Sus scrofa: one gene and its partners. The protein of the gene in region 1 purifies or fractionates together with the protein of each later gene. This does not show direct contact. Links are inferred from orthologs where the notes say so. Each region holds a gene or a part of one and is shown in the gene's direction. Other genes may lie near its edges.

Region 1 (6,051 bases):
AGGTTTGGTCCCTGGCCTTGCTCAGTGGCTTAAGGATCCGGCATTGCCAGGAGCTGTGGTGTAGGTAGCTCAGATTTGACCCCTAGCCTGGAAACTTCCATATGGCCCTTCTACAGGTATGGACCTAAAAAGAAAAAAAAACCCACAGAAAACCAGCATTTAACTGTGCTTTGACTGTGGGCAGAACAGCTCTCAGAGATTTCCAAGTTGCTCTTCCCAAGTTATAACATCTCAAATTTAACTCTAATAAAAAATTCCATATCTTTCTCAGATTGATATCTTTCTCAGATTGAGTGATTGATTTTTTGGCAGCACCATTTAACAAGATAGACTTTTTTTTTTTTTTTTTTGGTTGTGCCCATGGCATATAGAAATTTCTGGGCCAGGGACCAAACCCACACTGGAGCGGGGACTCAAACTGCTGCAGTGACAAGGCCAGATCCTTAACCTGCTGTGCCATAAAGGAACTTTCAAGGAAGACTTTTTGTGGTCTTTTGTCTATTCAGGGTTGCACCTGCAGCATGTGGTGCTAGGGTCCAATTGGAGGTGTAACTGCTGGTCTACACCACAGCCACAGCAATGTCAGATCCAAGCCACATCTGTGACCTACACCACAGCTCACAGCAATGCAGGATCCTTAACACACTGAGCAAGGCCAGGGATCAAACCTGTGAACCCACAGATAGTAGACAGGTTTGTTAACCACTGAGCCACGACAGGAACTCCAAAGAAGAATTTTTCTGGGGGGAGGGGTCTTTTCTGGGGCCACACTGACAGCATATGGAGGTTCCTAGGCTAGGGGTCGAATCCAAGCTGTAGCTTCAGGCCTAGGCCAGAGCCACAGCAGTGCAAGATCTGAGCCATGTCTGCAGTCTACACCACAGCTCACGGCAATGCCGGATCCTCAACCCACTGAGCGAGGCCAGGGATCAAACCCACAACTTCATGGTTCCACTGAGCCATGACGGGAACTCCCAAGGAATAATTTTTAAGATAAAAATTATTAGGGCTAGAAACATCATCACTTAATGATAAGTGGCTTGACTCACCAGAAATAGATAGTTCTAAACTTAACATGCATTTAGTAATACATGTTATCCTAGCCTCAAACTATACCTGGGGATAGCAATTGAACTAAGAGAGAAATAATGAAATCTATCATCATAGTGGATTCAATATTTTCTCAGTTATTGATAGCTCACACATATCTCTGCGTAAGGAATTCTTCCCCAAATTCTTACTTTTCAGGTTTTTTTTTTTCGTCTTTTGAGGGCCACACCCTTGGCATATGGACGTTCCCACGTTAGGGGTCTAATTGGAGCCATAGCTGCCAGCCTACGCCACAGGCAAGCCAGATCCCAGCGGAGCAAGGTCTGCGACCTACACCACACCTCCAGTGGAGGCAACGCTGGATCCTTAACCCACTGAGCGAAGCCAGGCATATAATCCACAACCTCGTGGTTCCTAGTTGGGTTTGTTTCTGCTTCGCCATGATGGGAACTCCTGAAAAAAAAAAAAATTTAAGAGTAGGTGCCAGTATTTTCTGGTAGGTGCTCAAAATACTTTTAAGGATTAAAGTCCTAAGAAAGCACAGTTACAAATAGCTGCATTAACACACCTAGCAAAGCTGAATTCGATGGAAAGCTTATAAGAAGCATAACGGTGTTTCCTTTTCAAAAACAATCTCCAAATATTGCAAATATTAGAACTTCCTGAAAGAGGAGGGAGTAGGTGAGAGTTAGCTAATAAGAGCTGAATGTGAATATTTATTGCACACGTAATTACGGTGCAACTCTATTTATTACCAGGCATTTCAAAGATCCTCAACAATAAACGATTTCTTAAAAGTTATGCAGATATTTAAACATTACTTAAAACAGTTTTAGATAAAACGGCGGTGTTTAAGGGACAAGAAAACGGGCTTAGAGACTTTAAGCACAGGCAGCGAGGACAGCCATGAGCAGCCGATGGGGTCCTAGAGCAGCCTCGGGATCCCTCTTTCCTTCAGGCGGGAATGTGGTCACCTAAGTCTGGGCGCGGAGGGGACCTGAGAGACGCTTCTGGGCAGGCGCGTGCTGCCTAAATCCGCCCACGAAAGAGCCAAGTTCTCTTTTCGCTGTCAGACATGGTGAGTGTGGACGTGTATTGCATTGCTGTCCGGATGGCTCGGGAGGAGCCTGGGAAGGGTGATATTAAGCATTTTAGTCACCGGTGGGTTGTTTACTAAATATTGGAGAATGGTCGCGTTAAGATAGAGGTCTTGGGAGTATTTTTGAGAGCGGGAGAGAGGGTGAAGTATTATTCAGCGTTTTCTGCAGGCCTTGCATGCGTCGTTGCCGCCTCTGATTTTATTCAGACTTCCTGCTATCGGTCGGGCCTCCTGGTTCAACAACCGGATTTCTTAATTTCCTCCTAAAAACTGGGCAAGTCGGTAGTACCTTTTTCCTTCTATATGTAGGTTGAAGCATATATATATATATATATATATGTATGCGTTAGAATTATTATCCAATGTAATAAATGGAGTAATAAAATTAAAAAAGAATTATTTAAGATCTTTAGAATGATTAGCGGTACGATCTTGTTGACCTAGTAAATTTTAATGGGCAATGGGCTAGACAAGAAATTGACTATTATTTTTTTGTTTTGTTTTGTTTTCTTTTTAGGGCTGCATCCATGGCATAGGAAAGTTACCAGGCTAGGGGTCCAATCAGAACTGTAGCTGCTGGCTTATGATACAGCCACAGCAATGTGGGATCCAGGCCTAATCTGCGACCTACACAACTCGGAGCAGTGCCTGATCCCTAACCCAATGAGGAAGGCCAGAGATCGAACCCACATCCTCATGGATGCTAGTTGGATTCTTTCTGCTGAGCCACAACGGGAACTCTGAGAAATTCACTATTTTATTATTGATAACTGTTGTGACCTACTTCAAATAAAACAGTAAAGTACAGTCTTAGATATAGATCAGAAATGTGGATAACTAGAGCAGCATTCTCGTCCCTTGGGGACTTGTTGCATTTGGGGAAACAGGCTAAAGCTGGAGAAGGTGAGTCTAAAGGGACTGCTTCCTTGATAAATAACCTTTGAGGTATATGGAAGGTGCTTCGAAGTTCCCAGAATTTATACAATTTCTAGAGTTAAACTTCATTAAAGCACTTAACTCAAATTATGGAATAAATAGATTTTTATTTTATTTTGGTGTTCTGTGTGAAAGATAAAGACAGATGAAGGTAGTATTTTTGGGTCGATGATGAGCTGGCATGTATTCTGAATCTAAAGTTGATTAGTACTACTTTAGCTCTAGAATTACTCTGAGACCTGAAAAATACTTGGATCTTTATGAAGGACTTTAGTGCCTTGGTTTTTCTTGGCCAGATAATTTTAAATTGAAAGTTTTCATTTGGCAACACGAAATAAAAAGTTCAGATGTATATTGAACACATGCTCTGGGGTCAAATATTAAGAGATAACTTATGAAATCAATTTATTGTGGAAGGGTACACCGCAGAAGGATGTCATTATCAAGTCAGATGCACCTGACACCCTATTCCTGGAGAAGCATGCAGATTATATTGCATCCTATGGCTCAAAGAAAGATGATTACGTATGTATGCTTTTATGTTGAAAAGTTTATACTCTTAAAGATGTAGACCATTCTGTAAATAGATCAGTATGGACCATGTTGGTATCTAACTCCTGCGTGCCAAAGCCTGAAGCTGTATCCTTGAGTATAGTGAATGCACCTTTGGATATCTGTTGAGGGACCATGGGAATTAACCATGTTTCTTACTTTGGTAGGCAAAGTAGATTCCCATTCGGCCCAGATCTGTATGAATTATGAAGTACGGACTAGATTACTATTTTTGTAGTTTAGACAATATTTTCAAGGTCAATGATGTGTTGGCATGTATTACCTGAGTTTACAGTGATGTGTAGTAACACTAAAGCTCTAGAATTACTCTGAGACCTTGAAAAAGTTCAGCCCTGAAGAATGGCTTTCCAAGTTTTCCTCTCTGGGACAGTCTTAGAAAAAATTAATGAACAACTTAATTGGAAGTAGATATTTTACCGGTGTAACAGTGGCTGTAGGGCTTTGTGTGTTCAGTATCTAAGCTGGCATCAATTCAAACTAACACAGTAAAGTAATTCTATATTTTAGGAATACTGTATGTCTGAATATCTGAGAATGAGTGGAATCTATTGGGGTCTGACCGTAATGGATCTCATGGGACAACTACACCGTATGAATAGAGAAGAAATTTTGGCATTTATTAAGTCGTGTCAACACGAGTGTGGTGGAATAAGTGCTAGCATTGGACATGATCCGCATCTTTTATATACTCTTAGTGCTGTCCAGGTAAATACTAAAAACTAAGCAGCCATGATAGTTTATTCTCTTACCTGAGAGTGGGGAAATTGAAACTAGGTATTAGGAAGGTGAGAGAAACCAGTATCTTTTCATATGACATCTATTCTACAAGGTCAATGATGTGATGGCATGTATTAGCTGAACCCGAAGTTGATGTAACTCTAAAATTACACTGAGACCTTGGTAAAGTATTTATTTTCAGTATATGTAAATATTTGAGAAATCGTCAGTGGACGTGTTTTTGTTTTAAGCAAGAAAAATCTTTGTTTAAGCCATGGAACTCTGGTTTATTAGCATATTGTATCCTATCCTGAAAGATATAACCTAAGTCTTATAATAGAAACTAGCATTTCTCAAAGAAAGTAGTATTTTCTTTTTTTTTTTTTTGGTCTTTATAGGGTTACACCCACAGCATGTGGAGCTTCCCAGGCTAGGGGTCAAATTAGAGCTACAGCTTTCAGTCTACGGCACAGGTACAGCAACTTAGGATCTGAGTGACATCTGCCACCTATACCACAGCCCACGGCAACACCCGATCCTTAACCCACTGAGCGAGGCCAGGGATTGAATCTGAAACCATGGTTCCTAGTCAGATTCTTTTCTGCTGTGCCACAACAGGAACTCCAGCAAGTAGTATTTTCTACAGAATTTCATGTGGAACATATTCAAAGAGAATAACATAACGGATTATATAAATTGGCCAAAGCCCGTTTACCATATGTGTAGAAGCCTCCTTCATTCAGCTATTTCTTATGTTGCAAAACCTTCCTGCATGGCATTTGATTCCCTCCAAGGCTGGCTATTTCCTCCCTTGCTATTCTCATCTTGCTTTATTTCTGGCAATACAAGATGCCTGTGGTTCCCTGCATGTACTCTGCCATTTCACCACTGTGCTCTTTTCCATGAAGTTTAAATTGTGGTATTAGTGAAGATCACAAAGATTTAAAGTCTGTATACATTAGTTTATATGAATCTTGGAGTGCTGAGTTGACAGTTTGTAAGTAAAAAATAATACTTTGTGGTTAAAGGGTTGTATTGATAATACCTGTAATTTTATTGCATAGTAGAAGATAAGTGCATGTTTGAAAAGAGTTCACAATGCTTAGGGACATGCTTAACAACTTAAGGTAGTTGAGGAAGAACATTAGAACAAACTTAGCAGTGTTGAAGAGGTGTATTTACTTTGGTTTGTTTTTATTACAGATCCTTACTCTTTATGATAGTATTAATGTTATTGATGTAAATAAAGTTGTGGAATATGTTCAGAGTCTACAAAAAGAAGATGGTTCTTTTGCTGGAGATATTTGGGGTAATGTTCCTTTAATTCATTGCATCCAAAATACCAATGTAAAAATGTCCTGCTTTGGTGTATATCATAGAAATAAGCTTTGTTACAAATTCTAAAGTATGATGAATTGGGGGCTTTGCTAAAAACTTATAAGGAGATTTTTAAGTTTTTCATCTTTTCAGGTCCCACTAAGCAGCTGGTCTAACTGGAGTTAATGGTCTGCTGGAAGTTCCAGCATGCACTGTGCTAGTTATATCAGCATACAGGAGTACTGGAACAGAGGGGGCCAGTCTAAAAGATAAGGTAGGTGAAATTTTTTTCCCCAATATTTGGTGGCTTTGTAAAGTTTTTTAAAAAATACTTGCATGGAAAAAATAGTCAAAAAACT
Region 2 (6,081 bases), about 49 Mb from region 1:
TGTCTTTATCTGTTTCAGTTTTTTTTTTTTTTTTTGTCTTTTTAGGGCCATACCCACAGCATATGGAGGTTCCTAGGCTAGGGGTCCAATCAGAGCTGTAGCTGCTGGCCTACACCACAGCCACAGCAATGCCAGATCCGAACCACATCTGTGACCTACACCACAGCTCATGGCAACTCTGGATCCCTGACCCACTGATCGAGGCCAGGAATGGAACCCGCATCCTCATGGATACTAGTTGGGTTTGTTAACTGCTGAGCCACGATGGGAACTCCTATCTGTTTCAGTTTTTTTTTCTTGCAAGTGCTTCTGTAGTTACTGTCTTTCATCAATTTGGTCACAGTCATCTTTTTTAGAGTTCTTAAATGAGCATTTATTGATGGCTTAGTTCAAAGAGGCAGGTAAAAGAAGTGAGACCTTGTTCCTGTTTTCAGAGGAATATATGATTATGTTGACACTGCCTGAGCCAGCTATACAGGCCTAAAATAATATTAAAATTTCTGCCACTTCAGTTTCTTGCCTTGTTTTTGGTAGGGATTAATATTTGGACAGGAGGATGCTGTGTGTATCATTGACCTTTAAATGCTTTTGGACTCTTTGAGGTAGTGATGTGAGAAATGGTAAGAAGGTAAACCTGACGAGAAATGAGAGAATGGGAATCATACATTAATTGAGTCAGCTGGCATTTTGGTACCTTGGAAAAAATGCAGGACTAACAGAAGACTTGGGTTTGAATTTGGGCTCAACTAACTTACTTACCTTAGATAAATCACTTTTCTCATTCCTCATAGGTAGTAAAAACTGCTCAGAATTGTGAGGAAAAAAGACAACTTTTTGAAAGTACTTTATGAACTGATGTAATAATTGGGGCCAATGCATATATTTTGAATAGAAAGAATTAAATCCTCAAAGGAGAATTTTGGTAAATGATCTTTCAGCCATTTACAGATGGGTATGATTTTATGCAAAGTACTTAACCATCAAAATAGAAAAATAAGATCACTGTGAACTTTATGAAAAAGAGTCCATGGGGAAAGCCTTCTCGAAGTATTTTTTAATCATTTAAAAATGACTTAAAATGGGAGTTCCCTTGTGGCACAGTGGTTGTTAAGGATTCCATGTTGTCACTATGGCAGCTCAGGTCGATATTGTGGCGCAGGTTCAATACCTGACTCAAGAACTTCCATATACTGCAAGTGCGGCCAAAAAAAAAAAAAAAAAAGATATAAAATGAATTTAGAAATTCAGTCATTTTAAAATGATAGAAACAATCTTATTAGTATGGAAACTTTATTGAACCTCATTTTGAAAAAAGACATACTTTACTTTTGAATCTATTTTAAAACTCTTGGTGTATGCTTTTATCCTATTCTCGATAGATGTCAGTAGTTTAGAGTTGGTGCTATGTCAGATGTCTTTGGGCTCATAAAGAATGTATTCTTGACTTTGGGTATTGTGTTTACTATGCTGTCAACCTCCAGTTCATTTAACTTATGCTTTTCTCCTCCAGGTTTTTCGTTGGAATATACGTTGCACATTTATGGCGATTCTGAGCGTGAGGGCAGACTTCTGCCAGGCTCAGCACAGCATTTCCGCTGACAAGTGAGCTTGGAGGTTCAATGTGCCATAATTAACATTGCCTTGAAGACTCTGGACACCGAGACTGGCCTCAGAAATAGTTGGCTTTTTTTTTTTTTTTTTTTTAATTGCAAGCATATTTCTTTTAATGACTCCAGTAAAATTAAGCATCAAGTAAACAAAAGTGGAAAGCGACCTACACTTTTAACTTGTCTCACTAGTGCCTAAATGTAGTAAAGGCTGCTTAAGTTTTGTATGTAGTTGGATTTTTTTGGAGTCCGAAGGTATCCATCAGCAGACATCGAGGCCCAGATTGAATTTGGATTCAAGTGGATTCTAAATACTTCTGCTTATCTTGAAGAGAGAAGCTTCTTAAAGAATAAACAAGTTGAATAGAGAGAACACTGATTGATAATAGGCATTTTAGTGGTCTTTTTAATGTTTTCTGCTGTGAAACATTTCAAGATTTATTGATTTTTTTTTTTTTTTCATTTTCCCCATCACTTTCACACACGCACACTCACACTTTTTATTTGCCATAATGAACCGTCCAGCCCCTGTGGAGATCTCCTATGAGAACATGCGTTTTCTGATAACCCACAACCCTACCAATGCTACCCTCAACAAGTTCACAGAGGTAAGATTGTAGCATGGTCTATCTTTTGGATTGATTTATAGGTAAAATCCCATTAAAGATTAAAAACCATTGTAAAGAAATCTGTGATTAGGGTGTGGATGGTCATTTGATCAATCTTTGAATTGAATTGAATTAGTTACAACAGATTTTTAAAAGAATGTTTAAGGAAATTGGGGAGATCTTAGAGATTACTTAGTACTGTGTTTTTTTCCTTATATCCTTTCAACATTATTACCATTTCTTTTGTTATGCTTTAATATTAAAGATAATTAATATTGAACGCTTAGTAACACCAGCACTACAATAAGCAGTTTTATGCATTATATCATTTACTCCTAATAACCCTATGAGGTTGAGGTATGGGTACTATTATTATTTATATCCTATAAATGAGGAAACTGAGGGTCACAGTGATTTAGCAGTTTGTCTAAAGGCATGCAGTATGTGGTAGAACTATCTCTGACACTGAAGTCTATTTCTACCTCACATGTTCTAAAACCACTTTTGATGAAAAGCTACCCTAGAATTACGTAGCAGTAGTAACCATCATGTACAAGGGTTCAGAAACCTAGGGGAAGGAAAGGTATTAGAGGTAGGTGTTTTTTTTTGTTTTTTTTTTTTTCTTTTCTTTTCTTTTCTTTTTAGTGCTGCACTCGCGGCATATGGAGGGTCCCAGGCTAGGGGTTGAATTGGAGCTGTAGCTGCTGGCCTACACCACGGCCATAGCAGTGCCAAATCTGAGCCGTGTCTGTGACCTACACCATAGCTTATGGCAACGCCAGATCCTTAACCCACTGAGGGAGGCCAGGGATTGAACCTGCAACCTCATGGTTCCTAGTCTTGGATTCATTTCTGCTGCGCCACAATGGGAATTCCTTAGAGGTAGCATTTTTTGGTCAGATCTTGAATTTTTTTCTATTGGTAGTAGTAAGGAAATTTTTGTACTTAAACATTTGAATGTTAGCTTTTTAATCATTCTCAAGTTTTTCAGTCTCAGTGTGATTTCTGTTGATGTATTTATGGAGGAGACTTAGAGAGCTAGATGAACTCCTAGAGATTCTAAATCTATCCTTCTCACTTGACATATGGCAGAAAACTGAGTTCAGAAGAGGTTTTGACTTGCGGAAGATCACAGATATTTACCATAAAAAATTCTGCCATAACCTTTCAGTGAACAGCTACTGTGGAGTTCTTTTAATGGGCTTTTATTTGTAGTTAAAAACACTTTTTAAATTCCTTACTCAATATATAATAACTTGAGTTTCTAAGAAAGTCTTTATAAGAAAATCTTTCTGTGAAAAGGAAAGTCCTTTAGCAATTAAAATAAACTTGTCTCTTTAGGTAACCAAATGATGACGCTTCTTGTAGGATATCACTGTTGCTACTTATTTATACTTTTAATTCTCTGAGCTTCTTAACTTTGTGTACACAGTGTACAAGTGGTTCCAGGCCTTTATGCCCTCAGGTTGTTCAGTCACCTTTAAGCCTGGCTGAATTACGTGATACTATTTTCAGCCTGTGGATTCCTTGGTCATAGACTCCTGCAACTATAAAAAGATGTTGGTGGCCCCTTGAAGTTAGGTAGTTACTGGATCAGGCATTACTGTAGGACAATTTAAAGGAGCAAGGCGTCTGGCTATAACTGTGTTAGTTGGCTTTGTAATATAATATCACTTTTCCCCCCTTTTTTGGCCTCCCTGTAGCATATGGAGGTCCCGGGCCAGGGGTCAGATATGAGCCACAGCTGTGACCTAAGCCACAGCTGCAGCAATGCTGGATCCTTAATCCACTGTGTTGGGCTGGGGAATCAAACCTGTGTCCCACTGCTCCCAAGATGCTGCTGATCATGTTGTGCCACAGCAGGAACTCCATAATACCACTTTTTAATCTTAATTTCTGAATTACTTTTACTTGTTTCTTTAAATTAAAGCGGTTAACTACTTAGTATATAAAATAACAGAAGGTACAAATAAAAGACAATTTAAAATACTTAATTGTTAATACCTGGCTTTTACACGTTTTTATTTGTATATATGGATATATATAGATAGATAGGTAGGATCACACTGTATTGAAAAAAAATTTTTCTCCCGGAGTTCCCGTCGTGGCACAGTGGTTAACGAATAACCTCATGGTTAACCTCATGGACTAGGAACCATGAGGTTGTGGGCTCAATCCCTGGCCTTGCTCAGTGGGTTAAGGATCCGGCGTTGCCATGGGCTGTGGTGTAGGCTGGCAGCTACAGCTCCGATTAGACCCCTAGCCCGGGAACCTCCATATGCCACGGGAGCGGCCCAAGAAATGGCAAAAAAGACAAAAAAAAAAAAAAAAAATTTCTCCCAACCCCTCATTTTTTTTGTAGCTGTCACAGTTCTCTGTATGGAAATGCTGTACTTTCTTTAACCATTCAGCTATTTTTGGACCATTTATGTTTCTAGCTTTTTATCATCCAAACAACCTCTGTTGAAACATGCTGGTACCTAAATCTTTGTATATATCTTTAATTATTTCACTAGTATAAATTCCCAGAAGTAGAATTTCTAGGTCAAAGTGTGTGTGCTTTTAAAGTTTTTGTGTTATGCTACCAAATTGCCCTTTATAAAGGTGGGTTCTAATGATTCTTCCACTGTTATTGGAAGAGTGTCCATTATATATGTTGTTACAATGAGAATGATTTTGATCTTTGTCTAAGAATCAGACCTCCCTTCAGTTTACAAGAGTATATTTTTAAAGCTTTGATTGCAATTCTTAAAAAGTTTCATGGGAGTTCCTGTTGTGGCTCATGGAAATGAACCCGACTAGTATCCATGAGGATACAAGTTCGATCCCTGGCCTCACTCAGTGGGATAAGGATCCAGCAACAGCTGTGGTGTAGGTTGCAGATGTGGCTTGGATCTGGTATTGCTGTGGTGTTGACTGGCAGCTGTAGCTCTGATTCGACCCCTAGCCTGGGAACTTCCATATGCTTCACCTGTGGCCCTGAAAAACAAAACAAAACAAAACAAAATTTCCTTATGTTTGTTTTTCTTTAAAGGAACTTAAGAAGTATGGAGTGACAACTTTGGTTCGAGTTTGTGATGCTACATATGATAAAGCACCAGTTGAAAAGGAAGGAATCCACGTTCTAGTGAGTGTGTAGTGTTTTAATTTTTCACTACAGACAAGTTGTACCTTTTAACCATAAATATGTTTAAAATTTGGCAGTCAGAGTTTGCTTTCTAAACTTGTAGGAGATACAGTGATTTTAGCAATCTATTAAAATTCCTTTGGATTACCAGTTTTTTTTCATTTGTGCCCTTAATGTGTAAAGTATTTTCACCAAATAAAAAGCAAAATTTAGTGCATACTTAGTTCAAGAAAATCGAAATTTCATTTTGTTTTCTCTAGGAAGTTAATACAATATTTGCCATTTGTTTCTAGGCTACTAGTTTGAATATAACTGAAAGTAATTTCCATGAGATGTTCTTAAATCACATGGAAATATTCTCTCTGACTTAGCAAGTACAAATTGGTTACTTACTATTTTGTGGATAATTTATAGAGCACAAAAAGGTGGGAGAAGAAGATAAGAAGAGAAAGGGGTAAGGCACTTTGCTTCAGAGTAATTAGCATAGTTTCTGACACTTGATGGGTTTCTAAGAAGCTTTTGTAAGATAAGATTTCTTTCATAGTTCAGTTTGGACATAGTGATTGGAATTATTTTAAATTAAATTTCTCCTTGGCCTTTAAATTTGCTATTTCATTATTGGAAATAGGAACCTCCGATTAGGTAAAATTTTATGCTTTATTCCCTAAACAGTTGTCTAAATTACAGGAGCATGTATTGAAATGACCTTGTAGTCTTTGTGTCTTAGAGCTGTTTGATG
Region 3 (5,995 bases), on another chromosome or scaffold:
AGAAGTGACCCCTCCCCCAACCTGGAGCCTTGGGAGTGGAAAGTTATTATTCGCACAGTTTACATGTATTTAGCAGTTAGTGCTTGGAAGGCTAAGTGCTTTGAATGGATTGGCACATTGGTACTTCAAAGGAGCCCTATGAGTTGGATACTGCTATTATGCCCAACTTTGGAGATCTAGCTGGCAAGGGGCAACGTTAGGACTGTCTGACTGACGTGCAGATTCCTTGTACAATACCAGCCTGCATTTGTCAGTCCTGAAAATACCCTAAAGCAAATGATGATAGCAGTAAAATGAGGCAACAATTAGTAATGCCTGGGGTGAGGTTGTAAGGAAACAACACTTGTCTGTGTTGGCTATACTGCCTTGGTAGGGAATGTGAATTGGTGTGATCTTTTCAAAGGACAATTCAGCAATATTTATGAGAAGGATTTTAACATAAATGTAAAAAAATTTCATAAGCGGAAAAAAGCAAGGTGCAGAATGCTGTGTATAGTAAGATCAATTTTGTATTAATTTTTAAAATACATATAGAAGATGGCTTCATATGCCAGCATATAAGTATTTTTTTCTGGGAAAGGAAACACAAGAAGACTTTAACAATAAACACCTTTGGAAAGAATAACTGAGTTATTTTTGTGCTGTTTGGAGATACTTGGGCTTTTAAAGCTCTGTTTTTTTTTTCCTCCGTGTTTGCTGTTCTTAAAAAAAAAAAAACCTTTGTTAAATCTTTAAAATAAAAACCAAATAGCTAGCATTTCTCGATGGTTCATAATGAGCAAGGGACTGTGCTAAGCATTTTACATGTAATAATTCATTACATTCCCACGGTAAATGATTAGCTCCATTTTCCAGGTGAGGAGTTTGAGGTTCAGAGGAGTGAAATCACTTGCTCGAGGTCCCACAGCTAGGAGGTGGAGGAGTTGCCCTTGAAAGGCCTGTCTGCCTTGCTTCGGGGCCCATGGCTCTCAACTGCTGGGCTGTCCTCTTCTAATTGGTGTTTATACTCTCATTGCCTAATAAAAGTAAACGGGTGAACAACTGGAGTCTAATGAGATAATGTATGTGAAAATACTTTTCTAAGTATAGAGATGTTTGGGAGGACAGGATGGGCAGGAGGAGGGAGTTTAAATTGGGCAGACCTGCCCACTGACCCCAGACAGTCAGGATATTGGGGGGGGGTGGAGGAAACGATGAGCAACATTTTATATTTCTTCTCTAAAAATATTATAAAATTATATTTATTCCTCTTTTCCCCAGTAATACCTGATCATGGCTTAGAAATTAAAATGATATGGAGAAATCAAAGTCCTTTCAGAATACCCCTCACCAATAATTAATGCCTTTGTTTCAGATTTTAATGGCTATGTAATTACATATTGCACACACTCACATATTTTACATAAATGGGAGCAACTATCTCTTTGCTCAGCATCTAACTTTTTTCATCCTCACAATATACCTTGACCGTCTTTTCATAACAGCACTTACAAATCTACTTTTTCTCTTTTAAATAGCTGCATGGTCTCCTATTTTGTGAGTGTGTGTGTGTGCGCGTGCATGATTTTTTAAATCATCTAGTGAAGGATGTTTAGGTGACTTTCGAGTGTTTCCAAGTGTGTGTGTGTACATTATTTTTTACATCGTCTATCAAAGGACATTTAGGTTACTTGCAAGTGTTTCCGTGTGTGTGTGTACACACATTACTTTTTTAAATCATCTGTTGAAGGAGACTTAAGTTACTTCCAAGTGTGTGCTTTCCTAAAATGCTGCTGTAATGAATACACTTTCTAAGAAAGTTTAGAAGGGTCATCAGAATGAGTGTGACATTTGCCAATTCTGTAGCCAATAAGAGTGTCCCAGTAGGACTCTGTACTTCGGTAAGGAGTATGTTTCACTGTGTGGAGAAACAAAGAATTCTCTCCAAAATAGTTTGGCCAACACATTCAGAGATATTAGAGTTGCCAACAAGTGGGACCACCTCAAAAAGAAGAGCAGCCTGTTTTGACAGTTTAGTGACAGAGCACAGACTTGCCACAATTGCCCAACACTAATTGCTGGATCAGAGGAGGAATTTCCAGACTCAGTTCCAAGCAGGGCTGGTACAGGGCTATGGATTTCCCCCCCCCCATCCCCCCCCCCCCCAGACAGTCTGGAGACAGCTAGACAGGGAGATGGGCAGCAGAGCTCCAAATCCGGCAACAGCACGTGTGGAAGGAGCAGTGACCTATGGGGAAGACTCATAATTCATAGACCAAACCTCTTCCAGCAGAGGGCAGTGCCTCAGATATCAGGCGGGACGCGGGCCAGCTGGAGCCAGAGCTGGGAACTTCGCTGGACAGATTGCACCAGCCCTAGGCTGAGGAGAAAGTGAACGTAACTGTCCCTTGGATACTGTAAGTGACATTGGGGAGCACCCAGGGAGAGACAGTGGGATTTCACACGACTGTAATTTGCCTGTTTTCTAATGTTACACAATTTGGGTTTGGTAACAAATCCCTTTTGATACAGTCAGGCCATTAAGGCTTCCACGTAAGGGATTTGGGGTCGCTTTAACTCGACTGGTCACTGACTTTCAGGCGTCGGGGTGCATGCTAGAATCAGAAAAGGAGTGACATTCCTAAAATATAACCTAGGCTTCTGACCCTGGGGCTCTGTGGATCGGACACAAAGTTTACAAATAGAAAGTTAGCAGAGGGTAAGATATGTAAAAAGTAACAATTTTATCTAAAAATAGAAACTTAGTGGTTAGCACTAAGTCCTCTGCTTTTGAATTTCAAAGACTTAAAACAAACTTTAACTTGGAAGAGCCAGCCATGCAAATTGCTGTGCCTGCAGATAATGAAAAGATTCAAAGAAGTTAGCGTGCAGGCCTAAACAGTTTCCAATCAACTCTTCCCCGCTGCGAAGCCTGGGGACTCCAAAAGGGACAAAGCTGAGTTAGAGTCCCATAAAGGCTACTCCTAATCCCTTTGGTTTTCGAGCCTGGCGATAAGAAAGAAAGGAGTGGCTTCGGCATTTGCTGGTGGAGTCAAGGCAGATTTACCGGATGATAAAAGTACCGAGTGTGTGTGCGTTAACTGTCAGGCACAGCTAAATAAAACACACCACATATGAAATCCGAGCTATTCGTGAAGTCGAAGGCTAATGTGCACGCGTTTCTTAGAAAAATAGCAAGTGCATGAAAATACCAGCAAAGAGCATCAACTTTCTCGGCCGTTTTATTTTCCCTGCGACTTCTGGTCCAGGGATGATAGGCGTTGTGCGGATCTTTAGCTCCGCCAACCAGCGGATCAAGTCCTCAGGCCGGGCCGGGGGCTGCTGAGACTCCTAGGGGCTTCCGCGGGCTCGGGGGTGGGACTGTCCGCAGCAGCAGCGGCAGCAGCAGCAGCAGCAGCAGCAGCAGGAACAGCAGTTGCGGGCAGGCAGAGAAAGGAAGGGCGCCGGAGGTTCTCGGACAGGCCCTTTGCCAAGGCCGTAGCCCCGACCCGAAACCGTCCTGGGCCGACTCGCTCAGCAGGGCGCGGCCCCAGCGCCACCCGGCTCGCCCCGGGAGAGGTGGGACTTTCCCCACCGGAAGTGATCCCGTCCCGTCTCAGGGAACTGGGGCACCTCCACCAGTGTGTCAGGGAAACCCTTCCGGGTGTGTGCTGGGGGTGGGGGGGTGGGGGGAGGGTGAGAAAAAAAAAAAAAAAAAAAAGAGGTGGGTTCGCCTGGAGTCCCAGCGGCCGCCGCCGCTGCCGCCGCCGCCGCCGGACGGCCCCCGCCCCTTTCCCCTCCGCGAGCCGCAGCGCAGGGGCGGCGGTGAGACCGAGGAGCCGGCCAGTGGCCATGGCCTTGGCGTGACACAGCCTCCCGGGCGGCCGGGCGGGTGCGGACGGCAGGGTAAGCGGGGGCGGCCGGGCCCGGGTGGGAGCCGGGGGAGGCGGCCGCCCGGGCTGCCCGACGGGGGCGGGCGGGGGTCCGGCGGGTAACGCGCGCCCTCTCCGCCCCCCACCCCCCCATCACAGGCCGGACGACGCCCGCGGGAGCCGCGGCCCAGAGACCCGCCCGGGCGGCAGCGACTGGAGCGGAGCCCACAGGCCTGGGCTGGCTCGGCGGCGCGAGCAGGAAGCGGGGTCCCTGGGCCCCTTTGTGTGAAGGGCGGGGGAGGGGCGCGGGGCAGCCCCGGGCCGCGGGCTCCTCGGACGCCCGCCTTCCGCGGGGGGCCCCCCGTCTGTCCTGCGGCGCCCACCCCTTCCCTCCCGGGGCGGGGGGCGCGTGTCGCCTCCCCAGCCTCCCAGCTTTTCGGGGCTCGCCTTCTCCCCACGCCCCCTGCCTGGGCTCCGGTTCCTATAGGAAGGGCATTACCATCCCATCCCCACCCACCCCGACACTTCGCTCTTTCCCCTCCCCCTCCTTTAACTTCCTCTTCTTCCCCCGTCGGGCCCTCGGCTGCTCTGCGCTCTCCTCCCGGGTTCGCAGATTTCCGCCCACCTTCCGCCTCCCCGAGCCGCGCCGCCGCGAGCGGGGTGTTATTTTTCCCTCCCTCTGGTAGGAGTTGGTGAAGGAGAGACTCATGCGGGAGTACAAGGTAGTGGTGTTAGGGAGCGGAGGGGTTGGCAAATCTGCCCTTACTGTGCAGTTTGTCACCGGGACTTTCATTGAGAAATATGACCCCACCATTGAAGATTTCTACCGCAAAGAGATCGAAGTGGACTCTTCCCCCTCCGTGCTGGAAATTCTGGACACCGCAGGAACTGAGCAGTTTGCCTCCATGAGAGATCTCTACATCAAAAACGGCCAAGGTTTCATCCTGGTTTATAGTCTGGTTAATCAACAGTCTTTTCAGGTAACCAAGTCTTGTAATTTGTTAGAAGGGGGTGTGGTAAACTACATTTACTTCTGGTTTGCTTGCGTAAATGACTGTGTTTTGCTTTTGAAAGTTAGACATGGCGCATTTTTGAGGTTTCTCCTGGCACGGAAAAGCATCGAGTTGTTTCTATAGCGAGGACTAAAGGCACTACCGTTCACAAATATTTTAAAGTTATTTTCGAGTGAAAGAGAAGTGAAAAAGACATGTCAGCCAGTGTATATTTAGCCTGGCATATAACCATCTGAAGTTGCTCGTTCACCTCACCAGGTCTTGGTTAATGTACTCAGCAGAACAACGTTTCAAAGATAATCTCGGGCAGATAGAGCACTTTGGAAAGAAAATTATTTGGAGCCGATTATCTGTTGCACAGATAACTCCTCTGCGTCTACGTCCCTTCCTCCCCTCTGTTCTCACCTAAGTCTCTCAACCAGATTTCTCTATCTTAGTGCTGCAAGATGAAGAACTCAAGACCTGCCTTCTAGGCATTTTACTTACTTGGGGCATGTGAAGGGAAGTTACTCATTGAAAAGACTGGTACCTAGAATTAATAACAAACACAAATCTAGAACAGCTCTCCTTTTTTGCAGTTCTTCCAAACTGTTTCTGATAACATTGACTCTATTTGTAGAGAATATGTGGATCTGGGGACACTGAGCAAGGGCAGATTTCTAACCCCTGGCTGGGTGGCCAAACTGGAGGTGATCCTCTTTCTTTGGCAAATCTGTCCTGTCCTTCGCTGGGAGACAGACTGGAGGTTTAACATTATTTTAGGAGATGCGATAAATGTTGCTATTTATTCTTGAAAATAAATAACCTCATATTGACCCATTATATTGACCTCCATTGATTTAGGAAATGGATGGTTTTTTTCTGCGTTTAAAGGTACGCACTTAATGTTGCTTACTTAAGAGACATTTAGTGCTTTGTCCAATCCAATGTGCTAATTCCACTTTTCTTAGTGTTTTAACTTAAAGTACCATAGTGAACTTTTCCACTAACCAGAAATAGCAACTTGAGGATTTTTTTCTTTTCTTTTAAGGATAGTAAGTTCTGGGTAAATTAATCAGAGTTATTGTGACCAAACTAAAGTTCACTCGTGGAGGCTTAAATTCCAAAGCACTACTGTTGCAAAAGCATTTT

The links.
Region 2: the proteins of RABGGTB (region 1) and PTP4A2 purify together in Homo sapiens (affinity purification with mass spectrometry; 3 studies listed by BioGRID and IntAct, counting the BioPlex papers as one, with this or other methods). This does not show direct contact. The link is inferred for Sus scrofa from reciprocal best matches to the Homo sapiens genes RABGGTB and PTP4A2.
Region 3: the proteins of RABGGTB (region 1) and RAP2C purify together in Homo sapiens (co-immunoprecipitation; 3 studies listed by BioGRID and IntAct, counting the BioPlex papers as one, with this or other methods). This does not show direct contact. The link is inferred for Sus scrofa from reciprocal best matches to the Homo sapiens genes RABGGTB and RAP2C.

Annotation. Positions count from the first base shown.
Region 1 is NC_010448.4:137,530,189-137,536,239, reverse strand, and holds the start of RABGGTB (geranylgeranyl transferase type-2 subunit beta), read left to right. Parts: upstream 1-2,107; 5' UTR 2,108-2,125; coding exon 2,126-2,128; intron 2,129-2,130; exon of another isoform or gene 2,131-2,211; intron 2,212-3,502; coding exon 3,503-3,610; intron 3,611-4,165; coding exon 4,166-4,363; intron 4,364-5,578; coding exon 5,579-5,684; intron 5,685-5,845; exon of another isoform or gene 5,846-5,966; intron 5,967-6,051. UniProt on the Homo sapiens protein: Catalyzes the transfer of a geranylgeranyl moiety from geranylgeranyl diphosphate to both cysteines of Rab proteins with the C-terminal sequence -XXCC, -XCXC and -CCXX, such as RAB1A, RAB3A, RAB5A and RAB7A.
Region 2 is NC_010448.4:88,428,321-88,434,401, reverse strand, and holds the start of PTP4A2 (protein tyrosine phosphatase type IVA 2), read left to right. Parts: upstream 1-2,073; 5' UTR 2,074-2,119; coding exon 2,120-2,215; intron 2,216-5,249; coding exon 5,250-5,342; intron 5,343-6,081.
Region 3 is NC_010461.5:108,344,720-108,350,714, reverse strand, and holds the start of RAP2C (ras-related protein Rap-2c), read left to right. Parts: upstream 1-2,282; 5' UTR 2,283-2,396; intron 2,397-3,796; exon of another isoform or gene 3,797-3,885; intron 3,886-4,010; 5' UTR 4,011-4,558; coding exon 4,559-4,831; intron 4,832-5,995. UniProt on the Homo sapiens protein: Small GTP-binding protein which cycles between a GDP-bound inactive and a GTP-bound active form. May play a role in cytoskeletal rearrangements and regulate cell spreading through activation of the effector TNIK.